7 linked regions of the Nothobranchius furzeri genome follow. The protein of the gene in region 6 purifies or fractionates together with the protein of the main gene of each other region. This does not show direct contact. Links are inferred from orthologs where the notes say so. Each region holds a gene or a part of one and is shown on either strand. Other genes may lie near its edges. The genes, in order: numa1, adnp2b, kpna2, ssrp1a, ehmt2, chd4b and sap18.

What was found.
Region 1: the proteins of chd4b (region 6) and numa1 purify together in Homo sapiens (affinity purification with mass spectrometry; 3 studies listed by BioGRID and IntAct, with this or other methods). This does not show direct contact. The link is inferred for Nothobranchius furzeri from reciprocal best matches to the Homo sapiens genes CHD4 and NUMA1.
Region 2: the proteins of chd4b (region 6) and adnp2b purify together in Homo sapiens (affinity purification with mass spectrometry; 3 studies listed by BioGRID and IntAct, with this or other methods). This does not show direct contact. The link is inferred for Nothobranchius furzeri from reciprocal best matches to the Homo sapiens genes CHD4 and ADNP2.
Region 3: the proteins of chd4b (region 6) and kpna2 purify together in Homo sapiens (affinity purification with mass spectrometry; 3 studies listed by BioGRID and IntAct, with this or other methods). This does not show direct contact. The link is inferred for Nothobranchius furzeri from reciprocal best matches to the Homo sapiens genes CHD4 and KPNA2.
Region 4: the proteins of chd4b (region 6) and ssrp1a purify together in Homo sapiens (affinity purification with mass spectrometry; 3 studies listed by BioGRID and IntAct, with this or other methods). This does not show direct contact. The link is inferred for Nothobranchius furzeri from reciprocal best matches to the Homo sapiens genes CHD4 and SSRP1.
Region 5: the proteins of chd4b (region 6) and ehmt2 purify together in Homo sapiens (affinity purification with western blotting; 3 studies listed by BioGRID and IntAct, with this or other methods). This does not show direct contact. The link is inferred for Nothobranchius furzeri from reciprocal best matches to the Homo sapiens genes CHD4 and EHMT2.
Region 7: the proteins of chd4b (region 6) and sap18 purify together in Homo sapiens (affinity purification with mass spectrometry; 3 studies listed by BioGRID, with this or other methods). This does not show direct contact. The link is inferred for Nothobranchius furzeri from reciprocal best matches to the Homo sapiens genes CHD4 and SAP18.

What each region holds. Positions count from the first base shown.
Region 1 is NC_091753.1:34,155,182-34,158,998, forward strand, and holds part of numa1 (nuclear mitotic apparatus protein 1), read left to right. Parts: coding exon 1-1,130; intron 1,131-1,257; coding exon 1,258-1,467; intron 1,468-1,571; coding exon 1,572-1,765; intron 1,766-2,327; coding exon 2,328-2,465; intron 2,466-2,751; coding exon 2,752-2,857; intron 2,858-2,936; coding exon 2,937-3,111; intron 3,112-3,268; coding exon 3,269-3,405; intron 3,406-3,504; coding exon 3,505-3,783; intron 3,784-3,817. UniProt on the Homo sapiens protein: Microtubule (MT)-binding protein that plays a role in the formation and maintenance of the spindle poles and the alignement and the segregation of chromosomes during mitotic cell division.
Region 2 is NC_091759.1:18,869,718-18,874,299, forward strand, and holds the start of adnp2b (activity-dependent neuroprotector homeobox protein 2b), read left to right. Parts: upstream 1-1,670; 5' UTR 1,671-1,894; intron 1,895-2,711; 5' UTR 2,712-2,723; coding exon 2,724-2,831; intron 2,832-4,582. UniProt on the Homo sapiens protein: May be involved in transcriptional regulation. May play a role in neuronal function; perhaps involved in protection of brain tissues from oxidative stress. May be involved in erythroid differentiation.
Region 3 is NC_091752.1:67,643,845-67,648,184, reverse strand, and holds the start of kpna2 (importin subunit alpha-1), read left to right. Parts: upstream 1-1,487; 5' UTR 1,488-1,571; intron 1,572-1,797; 5' UTR 1,798-1,841; coding exon 1,842-1,898; intron 1,899-1,983; coding exon 1,984-2,124; intron 2,125-2,294; coding exon 2,295-2,386; intron 2,387-2,471; coding exon 2,472-2,740; intron 2,741-2,811; coding exon 2,812-2,906; intron 2,907-3,060; coding exon 3,061-3,324; intron 3,325-3,438; coding exon 3,439-3,672; intron 3,673-3,758; coding exon 3,759-3,941; intron 3,942-4,026; coding exon 4,027-4,176; intron 4,177-4,248; coding exon 4,249-4,338; 3' UTR 4,339-4,340. Other genes in the region: nucleosome-remodeling factor subunit BPTF, read left to right, coding at 140-179.
Region 4 is NC_091741.1:91,658,036-91,661,852, forward strand, and holds part of ssrp1a (FACT complex subunit SSRP1a), read left to right. Parts: intron 1-1,846; coding exon 1,847-2,032; intron 2,033-3,817. UniProt on the Homo sapiens protein: Component of the FACT complex, a general chromatin factor that acts to reorganize nucleosomes. The FACT complex is involved in multiple processes that require DNA as a template such as mRNA elongation, DNA replication and DNA repair.
Region 5 is NC_091759.1:8,513,410-8,517,226, forward strand, and holds part of ehmt2 (histone-lysine N-methyltransferase EHMT2), read left to right. Parts: coding exon 1-110; intron 111-270; coding exon 271-566; intron 567-652; coding exon 653-719; intron 720-1,139; coding exon 1,140-1,222; intron 1,223-3,817. UniProt on the Homo sapiens protein: Histone methyltransferase that specifically mono- and dimethylates 'Lys-9' of histone H3 (H3K9me1 and H3K9me2, respectively) in euchromatin.
Region 6 is NC_091745.1:73,996,894-74,000,710, reverse strand, and holds part of chd4b (chromodomain-helicase-DNA-binding protein 4), read left to right. Parts: intron 1-254; coding exon 255-334; intron 335-424; coding exon 425-647; intron 648-1,202; coding exon 1,203-1,256; intron 1,257-1,395; coding exon 1,396-1,560; intron 1,561-1,635; coding exon 1,636-1,744; intron 1,745-2,026; coding exon 2,027-2,159; intron 2,160-2,258; coding exon 2,259-2,454; intron 2,455-3,817. UniProt on the Homo sapiens protein: ATP-dependent chromatin-remodeling factor that binds and distorts nucleosomal DNA. Acts as a component of the histone deacetylase NuRD complex which participates in the remodeling of chromatin.
Region 7 is NC_091754.1:55,848,244-55,852,260, reverse strand, and holds sap18 (histone deacetylase complex subunit SAP18), read right to left. Parts: upstream 2,776-4,017; 5' UTR 2,668-2,775; coding exon 2,596-2,667; intron 1,450-2,595; coding exon 1,340-1,449; intron 1,266-1,339; coding exon 1,143-1,265; intron 1,046-1,142; coding exon 889-1,045; 3' UTR 792-888; downstream 1-791. UniProt on the Homo sapiens protein: Component of the SIN3-repressing complex. Enhances the ability of SIN3-HDAC1-mediated transcriptional repression. When tethered to the promoter, it can direct the formation of a repressive complex to core histone proteins.

The sequences.
Region 1 (3,817 bases), on a different chromosome or scaffold from region 6:
TGTCTACTTCTGAAGAGCAGGTAAAGAACCTGAAAAACGAGATCCAGACCAAAGAACAACAGATGACCTTGATACAAAATCAAAGCTCAGAGCAAGCAGAAGAGTTACACCAGGAGATCAAAGAAGTGAAGGAAGAGGTTGAAAGTCTTCGTTCCTCTCTGAGAGCAGCTGAAGAAAGCTTACGATCCAAGGAAGAGCAGTTTGCAGAGCAGCAGCTACAGAGCTGTCAGCACCTGGAGGCCCTGCAGATTGAGGTGAACCGATTGAAGCAAGAGATCCAGACCAAAGAACATGAAGCTGATCTGTTAAAATCTGATCACTGTAAGGAGACAGAAGTCCTCAGTGAGGAGATCAAAGCTCTTAAAAATCAAGTACACAGTTTGATGGAGTCTCTGAAAACTGCCACAGAAGAACGGCAGATTCATGAGAACCTGTTGGCTCAGAAGGACATGGAAATGTCTCAGGTGAAGGACTCGTTTAAAAGTAAGATCGAAATCTCAGAGCAAGAGATCAGAAGACTTGGAGAAGAGATCCAGACCAAGGAGGACCAGCTGGTCTCCCTAAAGGAAGAGAGCTCCTCACATTCTGACGAGCTGCAGCAAGAAATCAAAACACTTTCTCAAAGACTCAAAGCTAAAGAGCAGGAGTTAGATGACACCCAGCAGGAATCGTCTCAAAAGATGAACTCCTTCGAGCAGCAGCTTCTGTCAGTAAACATGGAGCTGACACAAGTCAAAGAGACGCTAGCAGCAAACCAGAGAATGAAGGAGGCAGTGCAGGAGTTACATGTTTCCTCATTAAAGCAGAAGGAAGTAGTTGTTCAGGAAAAGGAAACACTTTTGGTCAGGATCCACCAGGCTGAGACCGATCGGAAGGCTCTGGAGAAACGGGTCGAAACCCTAATCGCTGAGAAGGACAGGCTTGCTCGAGCCAACGAGGCCATGGAGAGGGAAAACAAAACCTCATGCAAACTGGAATTGGTGCTGCAGAAGGAGCTTGAAATCCTAAAAAGAGAGAGAGAGCAACTTTTGATGGAAAGAGAAAAGGCTGAAGAAACTGAGTTGGCGATGAGAGACCTGGAGAAACGGCTTGCTGCTAGATCAGAGGCTGCTGAACATTATAAGACTCAGGTTGGTTCAAACACAAATCTAGTCTTGGCCCCAGTTTTAAAACCAGAATTGTGTTCACTCTTGTTTTAAATGGTGTAGTGAGTTTTTTTAACTGATTATTGCAGTGAATGTGTTTGTTTTTCCACAGATGGAGAAAGCAGTCAGCCATTATAACAACAAGAAACAGCTTCTTCAGAAAAGTGAGGAGGAAACGGCGGAGCTCAGACGTGCTTTAGAGGTGAAGAACCATGAAGTTAATGCCATCACCATGGACAAAAGACTGCTCCAAGCTGATCTAGACAAGGTCCAGACCAATGAGAAGAAACTTTTGAGTACAGTGGCCAGTTTAGAGACACAGGTTTGTTGTGTATTTAAAAGAAAAACAAGCAATGCCTCTAAGGTTACTGTTAGAATGAAAAAGCTGCTGAATTTCAGTCTCTATGGCAACATTTCTGTCTTTAGTTGGCCTATGCTGACCAGACGCTTCGGGCACAAAATAGGATTCATGGCAGTGAGGCTGGCTCGTCTAAAGAGTCGTTTTACTTGGCGGTTCCCACCATTCGCTCGGGTGTTTCCACCAGATCGCAGATGAAGAGGAGCATGAGTTGTGACAGCCTTGGTGAAAGCTCCCTGGAAGACACTCTGAACTCTACAAGGTAATGTCTGGGTCATCAGGTGTGCTTTTAGTTCAGGTAGCTACACATCAAGACTGAATGATCAAATAAGGAATGACTTTAAAAAAAAAATTGGTAACTCTTCCTTTTACAGTCCCTTAATTACCACACTTGCATGGTAATTACACGGTAAGTAAAAGTGTAATATTGTTTCTGAGTTCTTAAACGGTTATCATGTAACTCGAGTTCAGTTCTAATTTTTATTAATCATTCCCAGTAAATGCGGCTTCACACAGTAATTACACTTTTTTTTACAATTATACACTTTAATTACACAATAATACACTTTAACTATCTATGTAATTACAATGTAAGTACTTAGAGGACTGTAAAAGAAAGTGTTACCAAAAAATGTAATACAAATAACAAATTCTTTCTATTTTTAATCATCTTTACAAGATTGGATCAATTATTATTTTTTATTAAATGGCACAAATCATTTGGGTAGAAGACACTTAACAGCTGACTGATCCTGTGTGATGATTTGTTTTTGGGGATTATGGGAGAATTAATGATTATCTTTCACTTTTCTTAAACATTACAGGAAGCTGTCAGCACCCGAGGAGTCGAGCACGCCACTCGTCCGCAGCTCAGAGCGTCTAGCAGCCAAACGCAAAGGTCCTCAGTCTGAGTCGCAGGAAAGCTTGTACTTTACTCCCATTAACACCAGACAGACCAGAAGGTATGCTGTGAGGATGTCCGATGACACGATTGGCTTCGACTTCTTTTTGCACAAAGAACTGCTGCTCCACAGATGTTTTATACTTTTCGTTTCTGTTTTGGACTTTTCTGATGATATAAAGAACTTTTAGCATTAGAAAAATATATTTTCAGGTCAGATTTGAAATAAATTCTATATAAAGAAACAAAAAAGAAGCTGTGTCCCAAACAAACATTTTTCATTTATTGTAAACATTAATGGATTTTTGTCACCGTAGCTTGTCTCTTGTTTATCTCCCATCACCTAGGGGCAGTTTAAGTTCTGACACGGTTCTGGAGTCGGCTCAGAAAAACCCGGCATCATCTGCCAAACGACGCCGGACCACCCAAGTTGTAAACATCACCATGAGCAAGGTGGATGATTCGTTGATATACAGTCAGTTGTTTAAAGCACGGAGGCCTCATGTTGGAACGTTTGTGCTGTGGTTTGTAGAAGATGCCAGGTTCTTCTGAGGAAAGTGAGACGTTGGGTTCTGGCTGCTCTGTTGCCCACTCTGCTCGATCCCTGTCTATGGAGGCTTTTGACACGCCTCATGGTAAGTCCAGTGCTGCTAGTGACCAGCTCATCGGTCTTCCGGGGTACAGACGGAGCACCATTCATTCACAGAGTAAGTTTGTCCCTGGACTTCTTATCATTTATAATAAATGCATTATTTCTGCCTTTTTATTTAGTTTCCTTTTAAAGAAAGTTAGAACTATGTGGTATCGTCTGTGTTATTTGATAAAAAGCTTGACTTTGATTTTCCTGCATCCTTTTCCCTTCAGCCGCTGGAACGTTCTGTGTTGGAGCAGAAAACGAACCAGACGGTGGTCCTGATGACTGGCTGAGGATCGCAGAGCTCCAGGCCAGAAACAAGGCCTGTCTCCCACACCTAAAGAGCAGCTACCCTGTAGAGTTTGAGGTGAGGAGAGAGAAAAACCTGTTGGTTCAGAGGATGCTAATTAGATTTTTACATCAAATCTTTATTCACGTGAAACTCCTCCCATGTTTATGTCTAAAGACTAGAGGGACTGGCGGATTCGTTTTCACTGACGAGGAGCTCCGCACCGGGGACCCGTCTGACACGATCAGACGGGCATCGATGATGCCAGGCCAGCTGCAGGACTCCCTCGTGTCCCATCGGCAGTCTCTCATGTTTGGTCAGGCAGGTGTTGGAAGCCAAGCTCATCGCATGTCCTTGATGCCGGGACAGCTTCCGTCCAAAAGACCCAGCCAGAAAAGCCCAAGGGGTTCAAAACAGTCGTCTTCCACACTGTCCTTACCCCAGACTTCACCTGAGGTTGGTTTTCAGAGTCACACAGAAATATACTGTT
Region 2 (4,582 bases), on a different chromosome or scaffold from region 6:
GTTTAATATCTCCCAATAGTTCGTTAGAGGTAAAGAAATAAAAAAAACTGCTGATCACATTAAAAAAGATGAAAAAAAGTCTATTTCTGTTAAAGAAAAATCACAGAGAAATCAAAGTTTTTTTGCAAATTGATCAAATTGAGTTATGTCTGATAACACTGACAATATTAGTCAACCAGGAAAAGAGCAGCATATAATCGCTATCTGAATCGCTTATTTCTCAGTAGGGCCACGGGGAGCTGGTGCCTAACATCAGGTGAGAGAGGCAGAGGACACGTCTCCAGTCCACCTGGGGACAGTGGAGTCCCCCATAGACATGCAACTTTTTAACATGTGGCAGAAAGGCGTTCATGAGGAAAACATGCTAACCTCATCCAGGAAGGCCAAAGCCTGAATTCAAACGTGCAACTTTCTCATTGCAAGGCAGCACCAACTGCCTTCCCATGCAACCCACAAGAATTCCACGTTCAAATATAAATGGTGAGTCATACTGTGTTCACTCTAAAGCATTTGCACATTGATTGGTAAACATCTGACTGTTTTGACTCAGTGGCTCAAAAGAAGTCTGCTTGTTTTCAGTTCTTTTATTTTGCCAAGGATATTTTCTCAGCTTTATCTCTTCTGCCTCTTCTAATCAGCATCGTCTTGGTGTGCAAGAAGCCACAATGGTGGAAGTGACGCCATTGGTAAAAACTCTAAATTATGTTGGTACAATACAAACACGTGAGATAGCCACTGAAATTATGTAAGGGTATAAAAATAACATGAGTCATTTTGTCATCGTGAGGCATGGCACCAGGTGGTATGAATGCAAAATAATAAAAGGATTCAGTAGTCATTGTTTGGCCATAATTGGTAACAAAAGAAGTGGCTCAACACTCCACCACATGGAAGCATTTATCGGAGAAAAACGTAAAATTTACCTACGTTAATTATTGATTCGTTGTTAATGTCGTCTTTTTTTGGGTAAAAGATCAATTAATGACCTACATGAACTCAGGTAGCGTAAACATTTTCTAGACGGCAATGTCAGAATATGACTGTCGATTGTTAAAAATTGTCATAACTTTTTAAAAATCGAATCGCAATTAATTAAAAATTGTCAAGTGTCGATAGCGAGAAAGAATGTTTGAATAGGCAAAGTTATTAAAAAGTTATGGCCTTTATGTTATGCTAGCAAAAACACATCTAACATATCAGTCTATTGTTTAAATCATGGGCTAACATGATTGGCTAAAAAAAGTAGCAAGATGTGACATCAGCTCATAAGGACCACCCATTAGCTCATTTTCTCGACAACTGATTGGTTTGGCTTGGCCATGTACCACGTGACTGCCAGTAGAGGTCGGTGTAACCACGCCCCCTAAGTAGCTATTCCTCATAGAATCCATAAAGTCAATAAAAGAGTTCCGATATGAGATTAAATTTAAAGGTTAAATCATACAACGCACTGTTTGGCTATCTCTGAACAATGTTGGAAGTTACAGTGAAATAATTAAAGAAGTTATATTAGTTTTGGGGCAGAAGTCTCCCATTGGTCAGTTTGTGCTGTATGCAAATAAGGCCGCCTACGTCAGATCCTGAACTTGAGCGCCATTTTTTCCTCAACAGGGGAAGAAAGGGACAAAAGCTAAGAGCAAAAAAAAAAAAAAAAAAAACTAACTTATCACCGGAGTTCGTTTGCTATCATTACGGTTCGCGTTGGACTCCGGTGTTGACGCAACGGTGTATACGGGAGGGTGGCGCTCCGGTAAGTGTGTGGTGCGCGGCGCTGGGAGCAGACGCAGCACACCGACTCACACAGGCGGGCCAGTGGAAGCAAGCGGTGATCGTTAGCTCCACTGCCGGTGGCACAGCGACGACGAACGTTAATCAGCGCTGAAGATCCAACGAGGTAAGGAGGCTGTGGAGAATCCTCACGCAGGAAGATGCGCTGTGACCGCCTCAATGACCCCGCATCCTGTAACGCTGTCAGGAGGGGCTTCTTACTTTAGTGGCTCACACACACACACACACACATTTTTTTTTTTAATTTTAGCATCGATCGCAGTTTAGGTATCCGTTCACCAAAACCATACGGATTCTTTCAGTTTTTTCCCACAGTAATTATTATTTGCCTTTTTTGCAGTAATTAAGTATTTTAATTATTTTTTAATTCGTATTAATTAACATCCACTTTAGAAATCTGATCATTTAAATAAACCTGCTAATTCAACATTAATTACAAAATCCTGTTTATTTTGAGCTGCACCAGATAATTTGATGTATTTGAAGCAGCAATAAAAAGTAGAAATCAACATTTTATTTTACACTTAGACCATGTTGGGGAAAATTGCAACATGGCTTATGTTAAAGTTAGAGATGCAAAAATTCAGAGTTTTGATGCTGATATTGATCTCTGATGCAAATATGGGCTTATTCTGATTTATCTTGCACTGTAATTGATACAATTTTTTTCTGATAAAGTATAAACACCAACATTGCAAATGTGTTATTGCTAAACCAAGTGAAAACTTAGTGATGGTGAGTTCATGGACCAGTATAAATATTAATAATTATAATTTGTTTAGGCTACCTGGCGATATAGCTTTGGTGGACTTTCAAATTGGCAAATAACCTGTTGAATATTGGTCATATTTTCCTCTAGTAAATGAGGTGAAATGAACAACTTCAAATGTTCATCTAAAGTTGTTCTTTTCTTTCTCTTTAAGTGTGTGAGAATCATGTATCAGCTTCCAGTTGGAAATGTCGAGAAGATTCGAAAGGGACGCAGAGCAGTGAAAAACATCTTAAGTGAGATTGGCTTAGAGGACTGCCAAACCTTCTTAAAGGTATGCTTTTATTTTGAAAAATGATCCCCAGGAATTGGTATTATTTGTGTCTGACTGTTTTTTCCCCAATTTTACCTCGTAAATACAAACAGTCTTTTATTTTTTTGCATATTACAGATGGTTTTAAATGTTTTTTGTGGCTATTATGCTGATTAAAAAAAAATCTGGTATTGTTTATAATTTCACCGTTTACACAAACTGGGTGTAACAAGTTACATGTGGGCCCTGTGTGTAGAAAGATTATTTTGATTACATTATTAATGAACGATTCACCGCAAACAAACATTTTATTGAAACAGTTCCCGCAGTTTCCAGTTCAGCTAACCTTTATTCCAAAACAATCCTTTTTTATTTTTAATTGTCACATGGCAATTTAAAAGACAGTTATGTATGTCAATGTTCCTGATTTCTTCTTCTTCCTGGTTTTAGCTACCAGTTACAACAGCGTATTAGGGTCACGAAACAATGACTATAAAAAAAATGGACAAACTCCACCCATATATTTCTGTTGGGCTATTTTGAAGACAAATGGGTGGTTCTGATTGCCGCCATCTTGGCTGTGTCGCACGTGTCATCACACCCAGACAATCCAAAAATGGGAAAAGAGGTGGGGCAGTGAGGGTGGGAGCTAATGATTGACACCCATGACCTCTGAACCAATGTAGCTACAAGCTAACCTGAAACTACATGGAGCTTGGTGCCAAAGGTGGTAGCTACGAACTGCCTGAGCAAACCCGAAGCTAACCTGAAGCTAATGGAGGTTTTCGGACGCTTTTAGCCAGAAACGGCTCGGCAGCCCCAGGTGATGGCAGCAGCTGGTCGCCTGCCTCACGTAGCTCCCTCGAGGAGGCTGGAGCGTAAGATTCTCAGATTTTTGATCGTATGGCTGCCGCTGCTGAAGGGGGAGAGTCTGGCGGTGACCTCAAAGACCATCGACTGCGATAGATCAGCTTTCCCGGAGCTAGCCGCTAACGCAAGCTATAACAGTTGAATCTAATTATTCCTCATTTCAAGCATTTAATTACACCTAAACGGAAGAGTTGACTGAATGAATGAATTCTTTATTGTCATCATGCAGAACATGAAGAGGTTACGAAGGCCTCTACTGACGTGATGCCATAAACAACATAAAAGCAACATCTCTCAAAGCAGCTTCAATAAGAACAACACTAAAATATTCAATAAAACAAGCTAAAAAATACAATTTTGGCTAAAATTAGCGTCAATAAATCAATAAATATTTACAACCCCCCTCCAGAGTTGTCATGCATGTAAACTGGATCTATTAAACTTAAAATGTTTTTTGAACCACTCAGGAAACATTTTTATTTCTGCTGTGAAGTAGGCATTTTTAACATGGGAGTCTATGAGAATTTGCTCCTTTCTGGTGCCAGCCCCTAGTGGATGAGAGTGGAACTGCAACAATTTTCACTTCCATGTTGCATCAGAACAATCAGAAAATGGCTGCCCCTTTGTCAGGAAGGAAAAAAAAGGACAAAATGTTGAGATAAAAATCAGAACGATGAGAGAAAAACAATCAAATAATATTAAATAACATTAGATTGTGTTGCCATAATAAAGTCAAGAATTTTGAGAAAAAATGCTATTTTGGGAAAAGCCAAAATATTATTTTAAGGGGATAATTATAAAATAGCTTTTTTAAGACAATAATCTTTCCCAAAATAAAATCTAAATATAAATGAAAAAGATCCAGTTAAAACTGTAGTACATACACACCTCAAGACATCGAA
Region 3 (4,340 bases), on a different chromosome or scaffold from region 6:
TAATAAAGACATTCCCGCTCATTACACCAACATGGCTGCTGAAAACTCCATTCACCCATTCTGTCTGATTATTCCTAGCAAGAACAGCAATAAAAGTGTGAGGAGCTTTCATTTCTTCCCCTTTCTCCACATCCTGTAGGTCTCATAACAACAAACTTCAGGCTTCTTCGGTCTCTTAGAAAAATGCTGTGTAGAAAATGCACTCGCCAAGAAAACGGCTTTTCCAGACCGACTCTACAACACGCTGCCGGGCGACCGAGTCAACCAGCACTGCTGCTTTCACGGCGTTTTTCAGACAGAGCTGCCCTCTGCACGTTTTCAGCTGCAAGGCGGGCGTCTCGGGACCTGTCTTCATAAGAAGCTCTGCACTTGGGAGGAGGTGGTGCGAGGACAGCGGAGGCACTTCAGATAAAGTTTACTTCTGGAGCTGAGCTCTCGATTCCGTGTAATTTTCTTTTAACCCTTTTTTTTTTTTGTAAAAAAAATCCTCAGGCCTTTCTTGTGGTCTTCATGTCAGCTCATAACAGAAACTTCAAGACTGATGTACAATGGCTGAGCTTTACTGAGCATCATGTACCATGAGATTCGTCTGAATTCAGACGACTATCTTCCCCGCCACTCATTTCCACTTATCTTTTTAGTCTGAGGTGGCATGAAAGAAAGTTTACTAAATATTTGGACATCAGTAGTCATCTTGGTTAAACTTCTATATATCCTACTGAAAATATGGTAAAAGGCTATTGTAAGTGAATTTGCAGTAGTGACTGAGAAGTATGAAAATTATGTATTTGAAGGTTCCTGCCCTTTTTGTATAAAAATGAAATAAAAAATTCATCAGTTCTTGACTTGATTTTTTTGTGTTACAAATGAAAAATATCTGAACTACACTGCATCACTCTCAGCTCGTCCATAGGAATCTCCATCCCTGACTAAAAAATCTCAAAATTACAATATATATTTACATAATTACTATAAATGTGTCAGATTTGCTTAATTGTGTGTGCCTAAATGTAATCTGAATTATTTATACATTATTTTCCCCTGCTGTCTCAAACAGAAACCGATTCTGACTTTAATCTCAGAATCCTGACTTGGTTTCTCATAATTCTGAGAAAAAAATTATAAAAAATGAATACACACATTTAAAACACTATTAGACACTCATTTATACAGTTTATCAGCAAAAAAAGTTAATTTAGAGGTTACTTGCTCTTTAAATATTAAAAAAAAACCTCACTCGACTTTAGTAAAAGTTTGCTGCTCCGTTTTAAATTAGATTTAGTTTTTGGCTTTCGCTAACTTTGGTGTGTTGGACATTTATTTTCTAGCCTACAAGAGTGAAAAGATTTATTTTTAACACTACAATCTAACCCAACAAGCGCTGTTATATAAGTCTCGCGATATTCTCGTAACGTAACGACATTTCCGGTGCGTGTTATGAAATTTTTGAACAGTCCAATGAACGCTCAGGGCTCGACGTTTGGGCTCGAACGGGCCAATCAGAGGCGAGTCTAGTAGGAATTTAAAGGTCTGTGCGGTATTTTCTCCATATCACAACTGTTCCAGTCCAGGTGAGTGAGGTCTTGCTGCTCATTCGGAAAGTTTGAAACGTGTTTACGATTTCTTCCCCTTCTGTTTCGTCTGTCCAAGCCGTGATTTCACTATTTTAATTAACTAGCAATGAACTAATTTCAAACAGGAAGTAAAGCGCTCGGCGGTTTCTGACGGCTCATGGTGTCACGAGGCAGCTCGGAGCAAATCGATTAACCTTCGTGTGAAATAAACGTGTTTCCGCAGGAATTGAACCAACTTTGCATCTACTCAAGTCCACTAGCTTGAAAATGTCCGAGAACGTCGCACGTCTGAACAAATTCAAGAACAAAGGCAAAGACGTTAACGTAAGACTCGCTGCACCCAGCGTCAGTGATCGGGGTAGAATGCGCAGACTTGTGTTGAACTTGAATTCGTTTGAATCTGACGCAGGAGCTTCGGCGCAGGAGGGCTGAGGTGAACGTCGAGCTTCGAAAAGCCAAGAAAGACGACCAGATCTTCAAAAGGAGGAACGTGTGCACAGAACCGGAAGAGGCCACTTCTCCTCTCCAGGAAAGAACTCAGAACGGCCAGGTGAGACTTCAGGTGTCATTCGTTAAGGACGTGGTCTGCATCTTAAGCTGTAGGGGGGTGAATAGTCCCAGTATCTGGTGAAAGTTGCAAACCCCGAGCCTCGTACTTTGATTTTGAGCCCTGTTTCTTAACTTTTTCCACTAAATTATGACCCACTTTTGCCCCATTAGCAGAATTTAAGACAATGGACCGTGGAGGAGATCGTTACTGGGGTGAACAGCGGTAATCTGGAGTCTCAGCTTCAAGCCACCCAGGCTGCACGGTAACAGTCTTTTTTTTTAACGTTGCAAATTCCAAAGTAAACCAGTATTGATGCAGTAACTTCAACCGTGATGTTCTGTCATCAGGAAACTTCTGTCACGAGACAAGCGCCCTCCCATTGATCAGATGATCAGCGTTGGTCTGATATCCAAGTTCGTGGCCTTCCTCGGCCTGACGGACTGTCCTCCTATCCAGTTTGAGGCGTCCTGGGCTCTGACGAACATCGCCTCTGGCACATCGGATCAGACGGCTGCTGTTGTGGAGGGTGGGGCCATTCCTGCCTTCATTAACCTGGTCCTATCCCCCCACCAGCACATCAGCGAGCAGGCAGTCTGGGCTCTTGGAAACATTGCAGGTAAGTGCAGAGTTATTCTTTAGGCAAGTTTTTTTTTAACCTAAATAACTTAAATTTTTTTATTTGTATAGGTGATGGATCTGCTCTCAGAGATATGGTAATTAAGCACGGTGCTGTGGCACCTTTACTCAGGCTGCTGGAAGTTCCTGACTGGACTGTCTTTAGTGTAAGTCTTCTCGGATTTTACATTTTCCAAGAACTCCATTTGGGAAATGGTCGCATTCCTGTAATCGTTAATCCCTCCCGCCACTAGGTGGTGTCCTAACCCAATAAAATAATTCACCCCTTTAGTCTGACACCTGCTCTTCTGTTCTCTGTAGCCTGGCTACCTGAGGAATGTGACTTGGACTATTTCAAACCTGTGCCGTAACAAGAATCCTTCTCCTCCGATGAGTGCAATCGAACAGCTCCTACCTGCTCTCATTCGTCTCCTGCATCACAATGACCTGGAGGTGCTTGCTGATGCATGCTGGGCCGTGTCCTACCTGACTGACGGCTCCAACGACCGTATCGAGGTGGTGGTCCAGACGGGGCTGATTCCTCGCCTGGTGAATCTGCTCGGCTTTGAGGCGCTGTCTATAGTTGTAAGTAACTTTTCTGGCAAGTATGGTTTCTGTGGGCTTCAGCCGTCTTAAACCTCGTGTCCTTGCACTGAGACACAACTTGGACCCGGTTGTTAATGGATCATCCTCCCCCAGACTCCGGCGCTGCGTGCCATCGGAAACATCGTCACCGGCACAGACGAGCAGACTCAAGCGGTGCTGGACGCCAAGGCGCTGACCATGTTCCCTCACCTGCTGCGCCACAAGAAGCCCAACATCCAGAAGGAGGCAGCCTGGACTCTGTCCAACATCACAGCTGGGAAGGACACGCAGATCCAGGAGGTCATCGACGCAGGCCTCGTTCCATACATGGTGGAAATGCTCGTTCAGGTATGTCGTCGTGTCACAAGATTGTTGAGTAAACTTTATTTTTCTTCTAACAGTTTAGAAATATATTTTTATTTTTGCTTCTCCAGGGTGACTACAAAACTCAAAAAGAAGCGGTGTGGGCAGTTACAAACTTCACCAGTGGGGGCACTGTTCAGCAGGTGGTGTATCTGGTGCAGGTCAATGTTCTCGAGCCTCTTCTGAATCTGCTCTCCTCCAAGGACAGCAAAACGGTCCTCGTCATCTTGGACGCAATAACTAATATTTTCATGGTGAGCACATGTGTGAATGGACTGGATCAGCTGATTTCTCGTGTGTGGCTTCACGGTCCTGAAACTTGTCTGTCGGATTCGTCAGGCTGGGGATAAAATCGGAGAGGCCGACAAGCTGAGTCTGATGATCGAAGAATGCGGCGGACTGGACAAGATCGAGGCGCTGCAGTCTCACGAGAACGAGATGATCTACAAAGCTGCCCTCAACCTGATTGAGAAGTATTTCTCTGAAGAGGTGAGTGTGGCAGTGAAGGTGTGACCAGTTAAATGTTTGTTTGTCTCATGGACTCGTGTGTTTTTGTTTTAGGAGGAGGAGGTGCTGTGTGTGGCTCCTGAAGCTACAGAGGAAGGGTTTGCATTCCAGATCAGTGAAAACCAAAGCACTTTCAACTTCTAGAT
Region 4 (3,817 bases), on a different chromosome or scaffold from region 6:
GGTTACAATGTTCCTGTTTGTGTTTCTTTTTATTGTTATTATTTTTATGCCAACAACAGTAAAATGAGGCTGAAGGTTTATTATATTCCTCTCCCTGTTGTCGGGCGGCGCTCAGATCAGCTGATCAGCAGGTCTGAACGCTGTGCACACAGGCAGCGTAGAGCGAGAGAGGGCAGCCATTTTCAGACTCAAACTTTTTTATAAGCAAGAGAAATCTTTGAAACTGTGGAGGAAAAATTGTTCAAACTAAAACACAGGAGATGTCCAAAAGGTTTGAAAGCCTGTGTGTTCATTATGTGTTAAAGAAAATCAAATGGCATTAAAGGGAACTTTGTTGAGCGAGCTATTAACGGAGATAAAAGCTCGTTAAGCCAGCATGTTTTACTGAGGATGCTTTTCTGCTCAACATCCAACCCAGACCAGGTCTGTATAACCAACATTGTCCCATCTAGAGGCTGACCGATAGATCGGACCGATAATTTCAAGTTTTTTCTATATCGGCCGAAATTATTTTTAAAAGCCGATTAAAACAAATAAATAAATAAATCAGGTGTGCCCGACTGCTGCCACTACTAGACTGAAGAAAGGACCCAAAGAACCCTAACAGTTTTTTTATGTTTTGAGTAGGGCTGGGCAATAAATCTAAAATTTATCGTTGTCGAAATTTCTGACTCTTATCATGATAATAAGACTCGTGTTTTATTACTGAGCTCTGTTGTGGTTTATTATTAATAAAATGTGACAATCGGCTGAAACTGTTGTGAAAAGTTGGTTCAAACTAAATAACAGGAGATGTTCAGAAGTTTGTAAGCCTGTGTTCATCATGTGTTAAACGAACCGCATCTCATCTGCGTTAACGTGCTTTTACACAGATAGTCGCCCAGAATATTGAACTGAGGATGTTTTTCTACTTAACTACTCAAACCAGGTCTGATTAACCGTTGTTACCCTGTCTTCTTTACGATCACGTCTTCATCCACCTGCTGCAGAAACGGCTGCTGCGGTCACGGAAACAGGGATCTGTGCTGCAAACCTGAAATGAATCTGGTGTTTCCGGGACAGTCTTTACTGCAATAATCAGATTTTTACTTTGCTTCCACAAAATGCAAGTTCTGGATTAGATATTACTGAAACAGGGACGGCTTGCCATCCATTTTAAAAGCTGGCGCTCGTTAATTAGGTCGTCATTTTAAAAGTCAGTTAGTCCAAATGACGACGGGGAGGCTCGCTAGCTGTTGCTCACATGCGCAGTGGGCATTATTTTACTCCCAACAGTCCGAATGGCTGTGTACATGCACGCCAATCGGAATGATGATTGGACAAAACCACCTCTCTCAATAGGATTGAAATTTCATACCGATCGGGCCGAATCGGATCAGAACGTTCCGGTTGACATGTTTACATGCAGAAATTTTGATTTGATTGGGCGTTCAGTCTGATTAATTGCGCACATGTAAACGTGGCTTGTGAGTGTTCAGTTGTCTTTCACAATCAATGTGCTGCTAAAATGTATATATATATATATACATATATATATAATCTGCTTTAGATATCGGCAACAAAATTCTTTAAAAATCGGTATCTGCATCGGCCTTAAAAAAACCACATCAGTCGGCGTCCAGTCCTATCCTTATTTTGAGCCTGTCTTTATCCACCCGCACCGTGCTGCTGCAGCTTGATGACATTCATGTGCGATCGTACTTGGCTGTTAGTCAAAATCTTTACCAGTGGCTAAATTTATCATCCGTATACCGTTTATACAGTGGCATTACTAGCTTACAGATAAGCATTTGGAAATGCTTTTTCTGGACTCATGAACCCATCATGTCTCATCTCGTCTCTGCAGAATGACGGACGGCTGCGTTTCAGCAAACAGAACGTGGTTTATAAGAGCAACAAGACAGGGAAGGTGGACAACATCGCTGCAGGAGAGCTCAACCTGGCTCAGTGGAGACGGGTGTGTTTGGGTCACGGCATCAAACTGGGCACCAGCACGGGTCACGTCTACAAGTACGACGGCTTCAGGGACACGGTGAGTTCTGCTGCTGTATGACGGGGAGTGTAACACGAGCAGGAGGAGCCCCGCTCCATCTGACATTTCCTCTGAGGTTTCTCTGGTGTGTGTGTGTGTGTGTGAATGGCGTTCTGCTCAAAGGCCCTAATGGGATTAATGAGGGGAACCGGAGCCAGCGTGTGTGTTCTATAAACAGTGCAATCATCGGCTCTTCTGAGCCCGTGTTTATATCAGCCCACTAAAACAAATTGGCTCCCAAAACAGACCAAGAGAAATTTGTATTATTGCATTTTTTTTAAATTTCCTCTGAGCGCAGAGGAAAAATCAACACACTAGTGAGATACAGGGATGGAGGTGTGTGTTTAACCTGAGGAGTGTGTCTCTGGGGGTTAATCAGCTTATTTATGAGGGGAGATGGATCCTCTCGTCCCAAAGCCCAGGCTGTGAAGTCATTGTTTATTATCCTCCAGTTAGCGACGGTAATGGAGAACTGGCAGAAGGCTGACATTTTGATTCATCTGGTCTAATAAATTGTCCTTGAGGAAGATGTGAATCCCTGCCTGAGTATTTGAGAGCATCCGGAGGTGTTTACTTGTTCAAGGCTCAGCCTTAGACCAGCGAGAGGATTTCAGATTCTCTGTTCTGTTTGTGGGAAAATGCTCTTCTAACATTGTTAGAGATCAAACTTCCTAATTTAGCCAGAACTCTGGAACATGTGAGGATCCTGCCTCCAGGCTCCCACCTTCCTACACTGATTGTGCATCTGTGAGATCCACCAGAACCAGCCAGATGTTGGATCAGCCGGGGCTCTGTAGCTTTGTGCCAAACAGGAAAGGTCCTGAGTCGCTTCAGAGCAACAGTGATGGTTTTTAAAACGTAGCCAGATCATAGATATTTACACGGTGAGTCTGAAGTATCTCAGTGGGGTTGGGTTCCCTTACCACAGCTGGAGTTTTACCCTCATCACTGCTTTGGCTTCAGATATCCTTCATGTTCTCCCAGTTTGACAGCTGTGTTGATGAATAATCAGACTAAGGAAATTCAGAACCAGTAAAAGCTGTTGGACATTTCAAAGAGCAAAACACTTGTAAAATCAGGCTATTTGTTTTTGTTTTTAAAGAAAAACAACATTTATTTTTTTTTAGATTTGAGTCAAAAGTTTCATTTTTCAACACCCAAAAATATCCAAAACTTAGAAATAATCTCCAGTATATAGACTACGTTTCCTAATGATTTCACTATTAATGGTAACTTAGCTGAAGCAGCAAAATAGTTAAAGAAAACTTTTAATTCCTGATAAATGTAGGACAAATCACTGTGTGTGTGTGTGTGTGTGTGTGTGTGTGTGTGTGTGTGTGTGTGTGTGTGTGTGTGTGTGTGTGTGTGTGTGTGTGTGTGTGTGTGTGTGTGTGTGTGTGTGTGTGTGTGTGTGTGTGTGTGTGTTAGTATAAAACATGCTCCACAAAACAAACTGATGGTATGTTTTTACATCCGTTCACACACATTATCCTGTCTAAACAACTCCATAGTCCAGGTCAACAAACAAGCTGATTAAACAAACTCTCACCCTCTCACACACTCTCTCTCTCTCTCTCTCTCATATATTCATATATTGGCTTCAATAACCTTATGAAATGGCAGAAATCCAGGTGCGTACATGAGTTTCCAGTCTCATTCTGCCCTTGCATTTGCACGCCACAATCAGTTCCATATGTGTTTGTACTATTGCGAATGTAGGGGTGTGTGTGGTTGTCGTTGGTTGTGAGTCCTCTCCAGTTGTAAGCTGCGGCGGACCTGCAGGAT
Region 5 (3,817 bases), on a different chromosome or scaffold from region 6:
TGTGTCGTTGGAGTTGATGACCAGTCATCCTGAGAAGGAGACTTCCAGCGCTGCTGAGGATGGAAGTCAGCGCTCTCCTGCTTCCTCCCCACCTAACAAACCTGCTGCAGGTGAAACTCAAAACCAGTCTTTGACTAAGCTCCTGACTTAATCAGGTTCTGAAGAGAATTATTAAAATTTGACTGTTTTTTTAACGTAGTGATCGCTTAGTTTAATCTTTAGTAACATGTTTTTTCATCTTCAGTAACAGTTTGTATCTCTTCTTAACAGGTCACGCAGCAAAGTCCATTTCCTCAATGTCATCTTATCCTTCCACCTCTTCATTTTTTTCCCCTGGTCGGGCAAAGATGAGCGTTTCCGGGCCGTCTTCTTGTAAATCCGTCCTCCCACCTGGCCCTTCCTCCTCTTCCTCTTCTTCATCCTCCTCCTCCTCCTCCTCCTCCTCCTCTTCTTCCTCCTCCTCTTCCTCTTCATCTGGCTCAGCTTCGTTGACACCTTCTGTCTCCCCGAGTCCACACAAGATCCACCGGGCCCGTAAGACCATGAACAGGCCTTCACCCGGCCAAGTAATGACTTCTGTTACACATTTTTATTCCCACAATTGTTTGTTGTTTTACTTTTTCTGAAAGGTTAGCATTTTTTTATTCGACAGGTGAGTTACGCTGAGACTCCTGCTACGTCGGGTTCCTCCACCTGCTTCTCTACTGACTCTGAAACAGGTAAGTTCTAAACTTCGATCATATTTACTCCTCCGATTGTTCTCCAGCACTCGTAATTACAGGTCCTCTTCTACTGTGTGGTTTTTAAATTAATTCAATGTACGCCGATCACTTCAGCTGGTTTTTGGATTGTTCGTACCGACCTGCAGCTTTTGGTTGAATCAGAAAACTAGTTTTCATGCAGAAGTCTCAGTTGGCACCACTCTGCTCAGGTGTTGCATGGCAGAATGAGCCAATCTTTGCCTCCTGATTCGGCTATATCTCTTAAACACATCGTTGCAACACCAACATGTCTTTTAAAACTCAGAAAATGCTCCTGAAATCTTGTTTTCCATGTAAGTTTGACTGTTTAAAAAACTAAAAAGGCTTTTTTTTCTCTTATAACTGTCACGCTTTGTGTTGTTTTTCTGTTTCCACCAGCTGCTAGAAAGAGAAAACTGGGTCATGTATCAGAGAGTAAATCTGAGAAGGGCGACAGCGTTTCAGAAAAAGGCCAAACTGTGGTAAGTTGATGTCTTCGTGTTTGATTTACTGGGGGGGGGCCGTAAGCATTTGAACACCTGAGGAATCGGCAGAATTCTGGCTCAAAGACATTTTACTCTAACTTCAAAGTCCACCTCTACTCCACATATTAATCTAAACTGGCATCACCTGTCTAAGCTTCTTAAGCACATCTGTCCACCTCACAGTCAGTCAGTCAGACTCCCAACTACTAACCATGGGCAAGACCAAAGAGCTGTCAAAAGACACCAGAGACAAAGTTGTGGACCTCCATAAGGCTGGAAAGAGGTACGGGGCAATTGCTGGGCAGGTTGGTGAAAATAGATCAACTGTTGGAGCAATTGTTAGAAAATTCAATTCAAGTTTATTTATACAGCGCCAAATCACAAGAGTTGTCTCAAGGCACTTCACATAATAAAGCATTCCAACACAGGCCAGGGGCCTCATTTATCAAGCTTGCTTACGCACAAAACGGGGTCGGAAAACTGCGTAAGCAACTTTCCACGCAAACTTTGGGATTTATGAAGGAAAACTTAGCGGAAAAATGTGCGCAACTTTAAGTTGACTAAGGACCTGGCTTACGCACATGTTGGACATGGAGAGCACCTGCAGTGCTGCTGCTGAGAAGGATAAAATTATGAAATCCTGCATTATTATCACTTGTACTGCTTCGTTTTCACACAGAACAAGACACCCCACATGCACACACATGCGCGTGCACACACGAGCTCGCGCACACACACACAGCCTGAAGTGCAGAATACGGAATGCAGAATATCAGCAGGGGGACAGATTGAGGCAGAATGTCGTGCGTCTGTGACAGTGTGTGTGTCTCGTCACTGTGATAAGATTGATCATGTGCCCTGGCTACTTGGACAAGAGAGATTACTGTTTGGCTGACTGGTTAGCGCGTGTGACTTTCACTCGGGAGTCGGGATCGACTCCTGTTTGGATCATTTTTTTATATCCGCCACAGGAACTCATCATTAAGCTCCTCGTGATTTTTATCTTGAAAGGCGCTATAGAAATGATATTTTCTCCTTCTTCTTGACGGCTTCAGCAACACTGTGCCACTCCGTGGATTTTCTCTTATTTGTTTTGCAAAAGCACTTCCTTTCATTTCGCCACCTCAACTTCTACTTGTGAAATTGGGCTTCCTTGGTCTGCCTTGATCTACGGTCGCCATGTCATTGGCGGAGCACTGCAACAAGCCGGCTTATGTATATGCATGAGATCCACAAGGCACTTTGCATTGAATATTTATGGCAGTAAGTGGGTGTGATGAGGGCGGGATGTGACCAAAAAGCAGCTGAGAACATTTGTAGATAGTTTCCGATTTATGGAGCAGAGATTGCGTGCAGCTGTGCGTACTCCATGTTTGATAGATCACAAACCTACTTGGTGTAAGTACTTTTTTTTTTTTTTTTTGCTGAGCTTAAGTACGGTTTTAGTAAGGATTCTACTCAATGTTTGATAAATGAGTCCCCAGTTCATTAAGCCAATCAGAAAAAAGTTTCCTATATAAGGAACCCAGCTAATTGCATTGAGTCACTGACGCTACAGCGATCCTCATACTAAGCAAGCATGCAGCGACAGTGGAGAAGAAAACTCCCTTTTAACAGGAAGAAACCTCCAGAGGATCCTGGCTCAGTATAAGCAGCCATCCTCCACGACTCACTGGGGATCAAGAAGATAGAGCAGACACACACACACACACACACACACACACACACACACACACACACACACACCAAGTAATGTTTCCATGGTTACATTGTGATCCTAGTGATTCTATAATTAAACGGGTAAACTAGTAGTAGCACATTCTATGTCAAAGAAAGTAAAATGTTATTATCAGGAGAGGGAGAATGTTTAAGTGGTTAGCAGCAGTGTGCTAGACGATGGCCCCCTCCATGAGGGCACCACAGCTCAGCAGAACATCGATGTAGCTTCTTCTGGGGAGAAAAACACTTAGAGAGAAAATAAAGTTAACAGCTGAAACAGCAGGAAATAATACAGTTAAAGAGCAGATTGTAGAAGAAAGTAGTCGAGTGTGGAAAGTGGTCAGTGTGTCCTCCAGCAGTCTAAGCCTATAGCAGCATAACTACAGAGCTAACTCTGGATAACCTAGCCTTTTACCCCCAAATTCCACTACCTCCGCTCCGCTCCGGTCCGGTCCGCCCCCGCCTTCCGCAGCCGCTCGCTTCCGAACTCAATTTTTACTGGTACCCGCTCTACAACGGCTCCGCTCCGGTGCGGAGACCTGAGGTGGGCAAACAAGCATGCGCAGGATTTTCGAGATCTTGCGATACAGTCCGAGCAATAAACGCGGAAGTTAGATCCAAACACCCGTTGTGTGGGAGAAGCATCAAAATGAACTGTTTAATCTGCCCATCATTTGTGTTGAGAGATCAGCAGTGTTTGGATCAACAAAGTGTGACTACTTTGATAGTAGAAACTGTATTTATGGCTTACTTTTGTGCATTTAAACTTCAGCTGCCACTGATAGTTGTTAAAAGTTGTTAAACCTGTGCATATGAAACAAAAAACGCCTTTTGTTTATCAATTTATTGTGAAAAACGGAAGTTGTGCTCGCT
Region 6 (3,817 bases):
TGTCACTGAGAGCCTAAAAGACGAATCAAAAGTTTTAGACACATTCACTTAAACTTCTAACAGTATTTTTGACTTCTGGTCTTTCAGAGGAGCTTTAACCAGACTGGTGCCCTCTTGTGGATGCAGTCAGAAAAGCTGCATTATCGAGCACTTTATAAACGTTCTTGTTTTAAGATGTAAATCGTAAAAATCTTTTTACAAGTGGAAAAAAAAAACCCAAATACATCTCTTGAATATTTTTTGCTTTTTTTCAGAAGATTTTTCTAAATCAGATGAGCGAGATGACATGAAGAAAGAGGGAGAGGACAGCAAAGCTAAGAAAGATGATCCAGAGGTGTGTGTGTGTGTTTCCTAGTGCCACTGTAATATGTTTATTAATGATACAATGTTTTAATTAATGTCAAAACTTACTTCTCTTATTCAGATTATTGAAATCCCAGATGAGTCTGAAAAGTCCCCCGTTGTTAACAAGAAAGATGCTGCTGTGGAGAAGGAAGACAAGGAGGATGGAGAGGAAGGAAAGGAGAAGGAAGCTGAAGACCTGAGCAGAGAGAAAGAAGAGAAGTCTTCAGCAGCGATGGTTGCTTCTGTAAACAATAAGGGGGGAGGTTCAGATGGAAGGATGGATTCAGAGGACAAGTGTAAAGGTGAGAAGGTTATGATACAATCATTAAAAACGAGACATTCACAATAATTGTGTGAGGTTTTTTCAAGATTGTGTGTTTCAGGGGTGGCTAAAATTATTACTTTTATAAACAAAACATTTAATGTATTAGTTGGCATCAATATGTGATGAGCATTTCAACCAATATGGCATAAAAAAGAAAAGCATCTCGTACTAAACCGTAGCAGTAGCAAAAGATTTTGCTCTTCAGGTCAGTTTAGCCACACTTTTTGTAGCCTGAGCAGGTCTACCACTGGCTGGACAACATAGAAACGTTGTTTGTTGCCCTGATTGGTCCTAGCACTTCGTGCGGAGATGGCTTGGAAGACAACCATAGATTCTGCTCCACAACTGAGCTCTGTGTGTGGGTCTTGTCCAGATTATAGGATGACTAGCTAGCCTATCCCATATTGCACCTTTAAATCTAACAAATTAACAGATGTTATGATGGAATTGCAATAAACTAGATAAAATACATCTATATCATGTTATTCTCAGAATAATGGCCTTATGCCAGTCTCCATTTCTCTTCTTTCAGCTGAGGACGGCAAATACGAGAAGATGGACACCTCACCACCAGAGGAGAGAAAAGGTTCAGACTAAGTTTAGGTCGTCTTTATGTTTGAATAAAAGTTTTCTCCACACGACTGAATCTGTGAGATGGTTAATATTATAGTAAAGGTCATCTTAAAGGTCCAGGAAACGTTGCAAAACGAAACATTTCGTTGCAGATCCAAAGGAGGAGAAGGACGGCGTGAAAACAGAGGAGCCCGGAAAGCTGCAGAATGGAGAGAATGCCAAAGATGGAGGAGCAGCTGCGGTTAACATCAGCGAAGAGAAGAAGAAAGCCACCAAGCAGAGATTCATGTTCAACATCGCAGACGGGGGCTTCACAGGTGAACACGCTTTCCTTTCTCTCCTCGTTTCAACGCCGTTGACCTCTGTTCTGACCTTTCTGCCCTCCCACTCAGAGCTCCACTCCCTGTGGCAGAACGAAGAGAGGGCCGCCACTGTCACGAAGAAGACCTATGAGATCTGGCACCGTCGTCATGACTACTGGCTGTTGGCTGGAATCATACAGTATCTTTTCTAACTGATGGGGTGGTCATTTTTATCATTTCCTTACAGATTAACATCCTAAACGAGCTGTGGGTTTAAGTTTACAAGTTAGTTTTACTTACAAGCTACAGCAGTTTGATAAAAAGGGTCTCAAAGGAAAAAGAGTAAACGATTCGCATGCGACCTTGTTTTTGCTCCTTTAGAAAGTAAGCTACCGGGTTGTGAGACATGACATCACCTGGAATGTTTTGTCTCTGGAGTCCAGAAATAGCAGCGCTGTTGTCCTTGACAGTGTTGTCTCAGACACGGGTACGCTCGATGGCAGGATGTGCAGAACGATGTGAGGTTTGCTATTATCAACGAGCCCTTCAAAGGAGAGATGAGCAGAGGAAACTTCCTGGAAATCAAGAACAAGTTTCTGGCTCGCAGGTTCAAGGTGAATCCGGCGCCTCGGTTCTGCAGAATCCAGCTGTGTGCGTGTCTGCTTGCGTCATGTCTCACTGGTTAATTTTGGTCTGTCCGTGGCTTCCTGAAGTTGCTGGAGCAGGCTTTGGTGATCGAGGAGCAGCTGCGTAGGGCGGCCTACCTGAACATGACAGAGGACCCGGCCCACCCCTCCATGGCCCTCAACACTCGCTTCAGTGAGGTAGAGTGTCTCGCCGAGTCCCATCAGCACCTCAGCAAGGAGTCCATGTCTGGAAACAAGCCTGCCAACGCGGTGCTCCATAAAGGTGTGGTTAATAAAGAAAGCACAAGGTTCTCATGGACTTCAAAAGAACAGATCTGTGATGTCATCACTAGTAAACTATATACACCACAGGTCAATTTACTTTTTAAAGGTCCTATATTATGCAAAGTCCACTTTTTGGAGCTTTTGTCCATGTTTTATTATTTCCTCATGAAAAATACCCCCTGTACAGGTTTTTGTTTGACACTTGCGTTTTCCTGTCTCGGCTGCTTCTTCCCTTCAGCTCTGCAAATTTTTGCTGAGCCATTTTTTTCAGCTATAATAGGGAGCCTAAGTGACGCCCATCTACTTCCGGACCACGGGTCCCCGGAAGAATGAAAAAAATGAATGCAAGTCAACGGGGCTAAAAATGCTATTTTCTAATCCCGTTTAGCATGTGCCATGGATTTCACATATGATGTCAGTGAATTTTAAAGATGCATTCTGATGCCAAGAAAGAGCTTATTTTCAAAAAAGGGCAAAAGTTATTTTAGGGTTTGTGTGAAATACATCAAGGACTACAAATGCGCATCACCAAATTGATGTCATCAATCCAGACATGGAGTAAAGCAGAGGTAAAGTGGTTTTAAGTTCAGCAATCTTCAAATCCTTCCTCCGGGGGGAAAGATCCACCATAAATCTGGCCATTTGGTAAGTAGCAGCTACGCTAGGGGAGAGGAGATTCTGTGGTGACGTCATTTATGCGACGTCTGATTTGTAGTCAAGCTGATAAATCTCAACGTACGTGACTAGCGTGGCTGAAACACACCATTACTTTTCATTTAAATTGAAGTTTAACATATGTGCGATCCAGGGCGTAAGGCAAAGCGGATGAGACAATAGCTCTTAGCCCCGTTGACTTGCATTCATTTTTTTTCGTTCTTCCGGGGACCCGTGAGCCGACTGGAATGGGAGGAGACCTGGGCTCCCTGTAGGTTGTTACTGCATTACAAAGGCCCACTCCTCACCATCCAGGTAGTCTCTTGAGTCCTGATCCCCCCCTGGACTGTTAACACTAATGCCCAGTGTTTCTGTGTAGCTAGCGGGGAGTTTAATCCACAGTTGTGAAGGAGTGACTTTTTTTCTCATCTAGTCTGAACTTTAAATAATGTTTAAAACCCAAAATGTATTGTAGTCTGTGAGAGGTACAGAATCCTTGTCCAGACTTTCTGAAGAAGAGTTTAATCAGCTGAAATGGTTGGATTTTATCTTCAGGAGCTCTCAGAAACTGAGCCAGAATGTAACCGTAGTTTCACAGACTGCTTGTTGAACCTTCGCCATTACCAGAGTTGGTTTTCCAGGGTATCCGCGGGTCCTTAAAAAGTCTTAATAAGTCTTAAATTTGCTTTTCCAAATTTAAGGCCTTA
Region 7 (4,017 bases), on a different chromosome or scaffold from region 6:
TGTTTCTAAATAATTAAACCTTAAATGACCACTACGTTGCTAGCTCAGTGTGCGGCAGCGCGCATGCGTTGTCGGAGTTGAGTATTTCCGGTTGTGCTTTCCAAAATAAGAGCTAACAACGAATTCACATCTGAAACAAGTGTCTTATTACGTCACAGGATGGATGCTACTCTGAAGGAACGAACTGGTTTAGTAAAGGAAGTGTATGGAGAGGCCAGGAAAAAGGGGACCTTTGCCATTGTCTCTTTTTCAAATACCCACATTTGAGTTTGTTGAAGCATACGTCCATTACTTTAAGCTTGTAGACACCAAAGAGCTTGAAATAACGTTATCCGTGGTCTATCTTTTTCTTTAAAATGACTTAATACCAGCTCAGTGGTCTAGTGGTAGTGTGTCCGCCCTGTCTGGAATTCGGGGTTCAAATCCCAGTCGTGTCACACCAAAGACTTTAAGAATGGGACCCAATGCCTCCTTGCTTGACACTCAACTTTAAAATGGTTGGATTGGGGGTTAAACCACCAACTGGTTCCTGAGCACAGCCATAATTACAGCTCACCCATCCCTATGGCGATGGGTCAAATGTGGAGATGGCACCTTAACTTAAATACATAGTTTATATAACGAAACAGAGAAGTCTCTATACAAATTTGCAAAAAAAAAAAAAAAAAAAACTTTTTAAATTAAGGATTATCATTCAAGTGAGTTTGGTATGTTTGATCAAAACTGGTCTGTTTTTGCAAATTAACTCTTCACAAACACACATTATTGATATTAACTACTCAACAACAGTCTATAGGGAAAAAACAGCTTTATTAAACATGAAGAATTATAAAATGAGGCTAAACTACTCAAGAGAACCCAAAAACAGATGTATCGCTTCATGTGCGTTCAGAAGGGCCTCATGCGTTGGTTGAGGGGCGGGGCTCTGTTGGGCGGTGTGATGGCTATGTCCAAATAGTCTCCAATCTGGAACCGCTGGGACTGCAGCGTCATGGAGTCTTCCAAACCCTTCCTGCCAGACATGGTACTGCCGATCTCTTTTAACCTGAACATTGTAAAAAGAGATGCACAAACTCAGTCCACAGGAATTCATGAACAATAGTATGATTTTACGACCCCGATCTGTGTTGCTCGACACTTACTTGTACATTTTCCCTCTGGGTTCTGGATAGACTATGGCAAAGCTGAAGTGGGTCCCCTTTTTCCTGGCCTCTGGATACACTTCCTTCACTAAACCAGTTAGTTCCTTCAGAGTAGCATCCATCCTGTGATGTAAACAAACACTTGTTTCAGAGGTTCTGTAGCATATACCAGAAACGTAATGGTTTGTAAGTCTTACCAAGTGTAGATTTGCAACTCGCTGGAAGGAACGTTCCCTCTAGAAAATTCCTCTATTCTGTGGTGTCGGCCACTGTTGGTAGTAAATACTCTCAGGAGGAGGGGGCAGGTCTGAAGGAAACAAGAAAACTAAGTTAAACATAAGCAAAAGTACAAATAAATATCACATTCTTTACATGTGATTTAAATATATGAACACATTTAGAATAACTGATGTAAATGTCAGTGTTATTTCAATGATTCAACTGGATTTTTTTTTTACATAAACCTTATTTTGAAAGTTTTCATCAGGGCAAAGTGAGTTCCGAAGTGAGTCTTCGCTGCCCCCTGGTGGCCGTAATAAGTACCTACAGCTGATAGAAAGAAATGGCTTTTTAAGATTGCCATCTGGTTCCTGATTAAGAAATTTAGTGAACTTTTCTGCAACCTTTTAATGCACATGTGGGAAAAATGTTTTTATTAGGCTGAACCCAAAAACAGAAATTACAATTTTTTTACAGAATAAGAAAAGTTATCTTAAACTATATTTGAAATATGATTGCCCTTTTCTATTAAGCATTTCTTATTGTAAAATATTTATTTATATCAATTCTTTATTATTGTAAATTATCCAATAGAAACTTATTTGTTTTCGCAGGTATAAGTCTACAGCAAATAAAATCAATTTATAATTCACAAATATCCGTTATTTTTTCTTATGGTCAACCCTTTTTCTCCTGCTAAACGTAAATAATAGACAATTACATCTACCTTCGTTTATTTATTTAACAGTTTTATTTGTGTTTCTGCTGTTTATTACTCTTGTGCTTGCGCGTTAAAAAGCACAAATAAAAATACTTGCTTTTTTTAAGTTTATTTATCTGCCTTAAGAACAATAAAAATGCAGGCTTAAAAGTATTATTTTCAACTTTCAAATGTAACCATGTTTATCTGTTCAGGGAAAACCGACTCATTTACAATACTGAAAACATTTAGAGGTCTTTTCATGTAAAGCGTTGCTAGCATTAGCTTATTAGCATGCTAGACGGTGCCGTCGAGATAAATCATACACAATTTTAATTTATTTAGTTCAAATAAAACATTTACGACACAGAATTGAGAACGGCTACATTAAATAGCTGTAAATGACCGTTTTAAAACACTTTTTAAGCTTTTACTCCTCCCGACTGCCGTTTTAGTGTTTAAAACCAGCTAACAAGGTTAGCTAGAAGCACACAACACGATGAGCGAGTTACTGAACATTATCCAAACATTAACCTTTTCCCGGTCGATGGGCTTTTCGGGCTCCTTCTTAATTTCCTCCTGAGTGATCCGCGACTCAAGGGCCATTTTTGTTTAACACAGTTAAAATGTTATTAAGCTGTCTGGCTGCAACTTGCGTCTTTCAGCGATGATATTTTTACGGCAACATGAACATAACGTAAAGCGTAGGCTTTTCCGGTCACGTGAAAGTAAGGCAAGTTATTCACGTTACTCCGTTTTTAGGTTATTTTTTAAACACAGCAAAGGTTTTCTTTACCTCCTGGAGAAGCGATCGAAACTGTTAACATGGCAAAAATAAAAAAAATCCTGTGTTTTAAAAATAACTTTAAAAAGCGTTTAGAAGAAAAACACAGCATGAATTTACAGGGATGGCAAGTTATTGTTTTACATAAGCAAACCGCTCTCTCAAGTTTCAGTGACAGACTCATTAGTATTCTCTGTTGGCACTTCTCACCAAAAAGAATATAAACTAGAATACATAAATTTCTGAAACTGAACTCAGCACACTACACTTTAATCTGAATAGTGACTTCAATTCAGAAGATTGTTAGAACATTGAACATTACACACGGCAAGAACAGGGCGAATAAAAACAACTCTTGCTGCCTACACAAGACTAATTCAAATATCAAAATGTACGAATTTAAGGTAAAATTCTTATTAGAAAATAGAAAATGAGAAATGAGATTTATATGCTATATTGGGTTGCCAAAACCATAGCGTGAAGTACCGGTAGTTACATTACCATCTGATGGCCAAAACCCAAATTGTCCTATGAAATGAGCCGAAAAAATGTATTGAGTTTATCCAGGATTCCTGGTTATTTTGCATTCAAACTCCGTTGAAATATAATCATTTACGTCTTTTAATTTCACTTAGCTTGGTTTCTTTCTGCATATTCACTATAGAGTAATGCGATTTGAAGTTCTCTGACTCAGAAAAGCGCTATATACAGTAAGTGTGAGTTATTTATCATTTGTACACTGCACGGCCCAAAACAATAAGTCACCACCAAATTAAAAGTTCCCAGACTCTAATATTTTGTTGGACTGTCTTTAGCTTTGATTACGACATGTATTTACTGTGGCATTGTTTCTGCACAAGAATTATTTCCATCCAGTGTTGAATTGAAGTTTCACAAAGATCTTGCATTGATGATGGTAGAGTCAGACCGCTGCACAAAGCCTTCTCCAACACATCCTAAAGATTCTCAATGGGGTTAAGGTCTGGACTCTGTGGTGACCAATCCATGTGTGAAAATGATGTCTCATGCTCCCTGAACCTCTCTTTCACTATCTGAGCCCGATGAACCCTGGCATTGTCATCTTGGAATATGCCCGTGCCAACAGGGAAGAAGGAATGACCTGGTCATTCAGTATATTCAGGTAGTCAGCTGACCTCATTCTTGGAGCACAT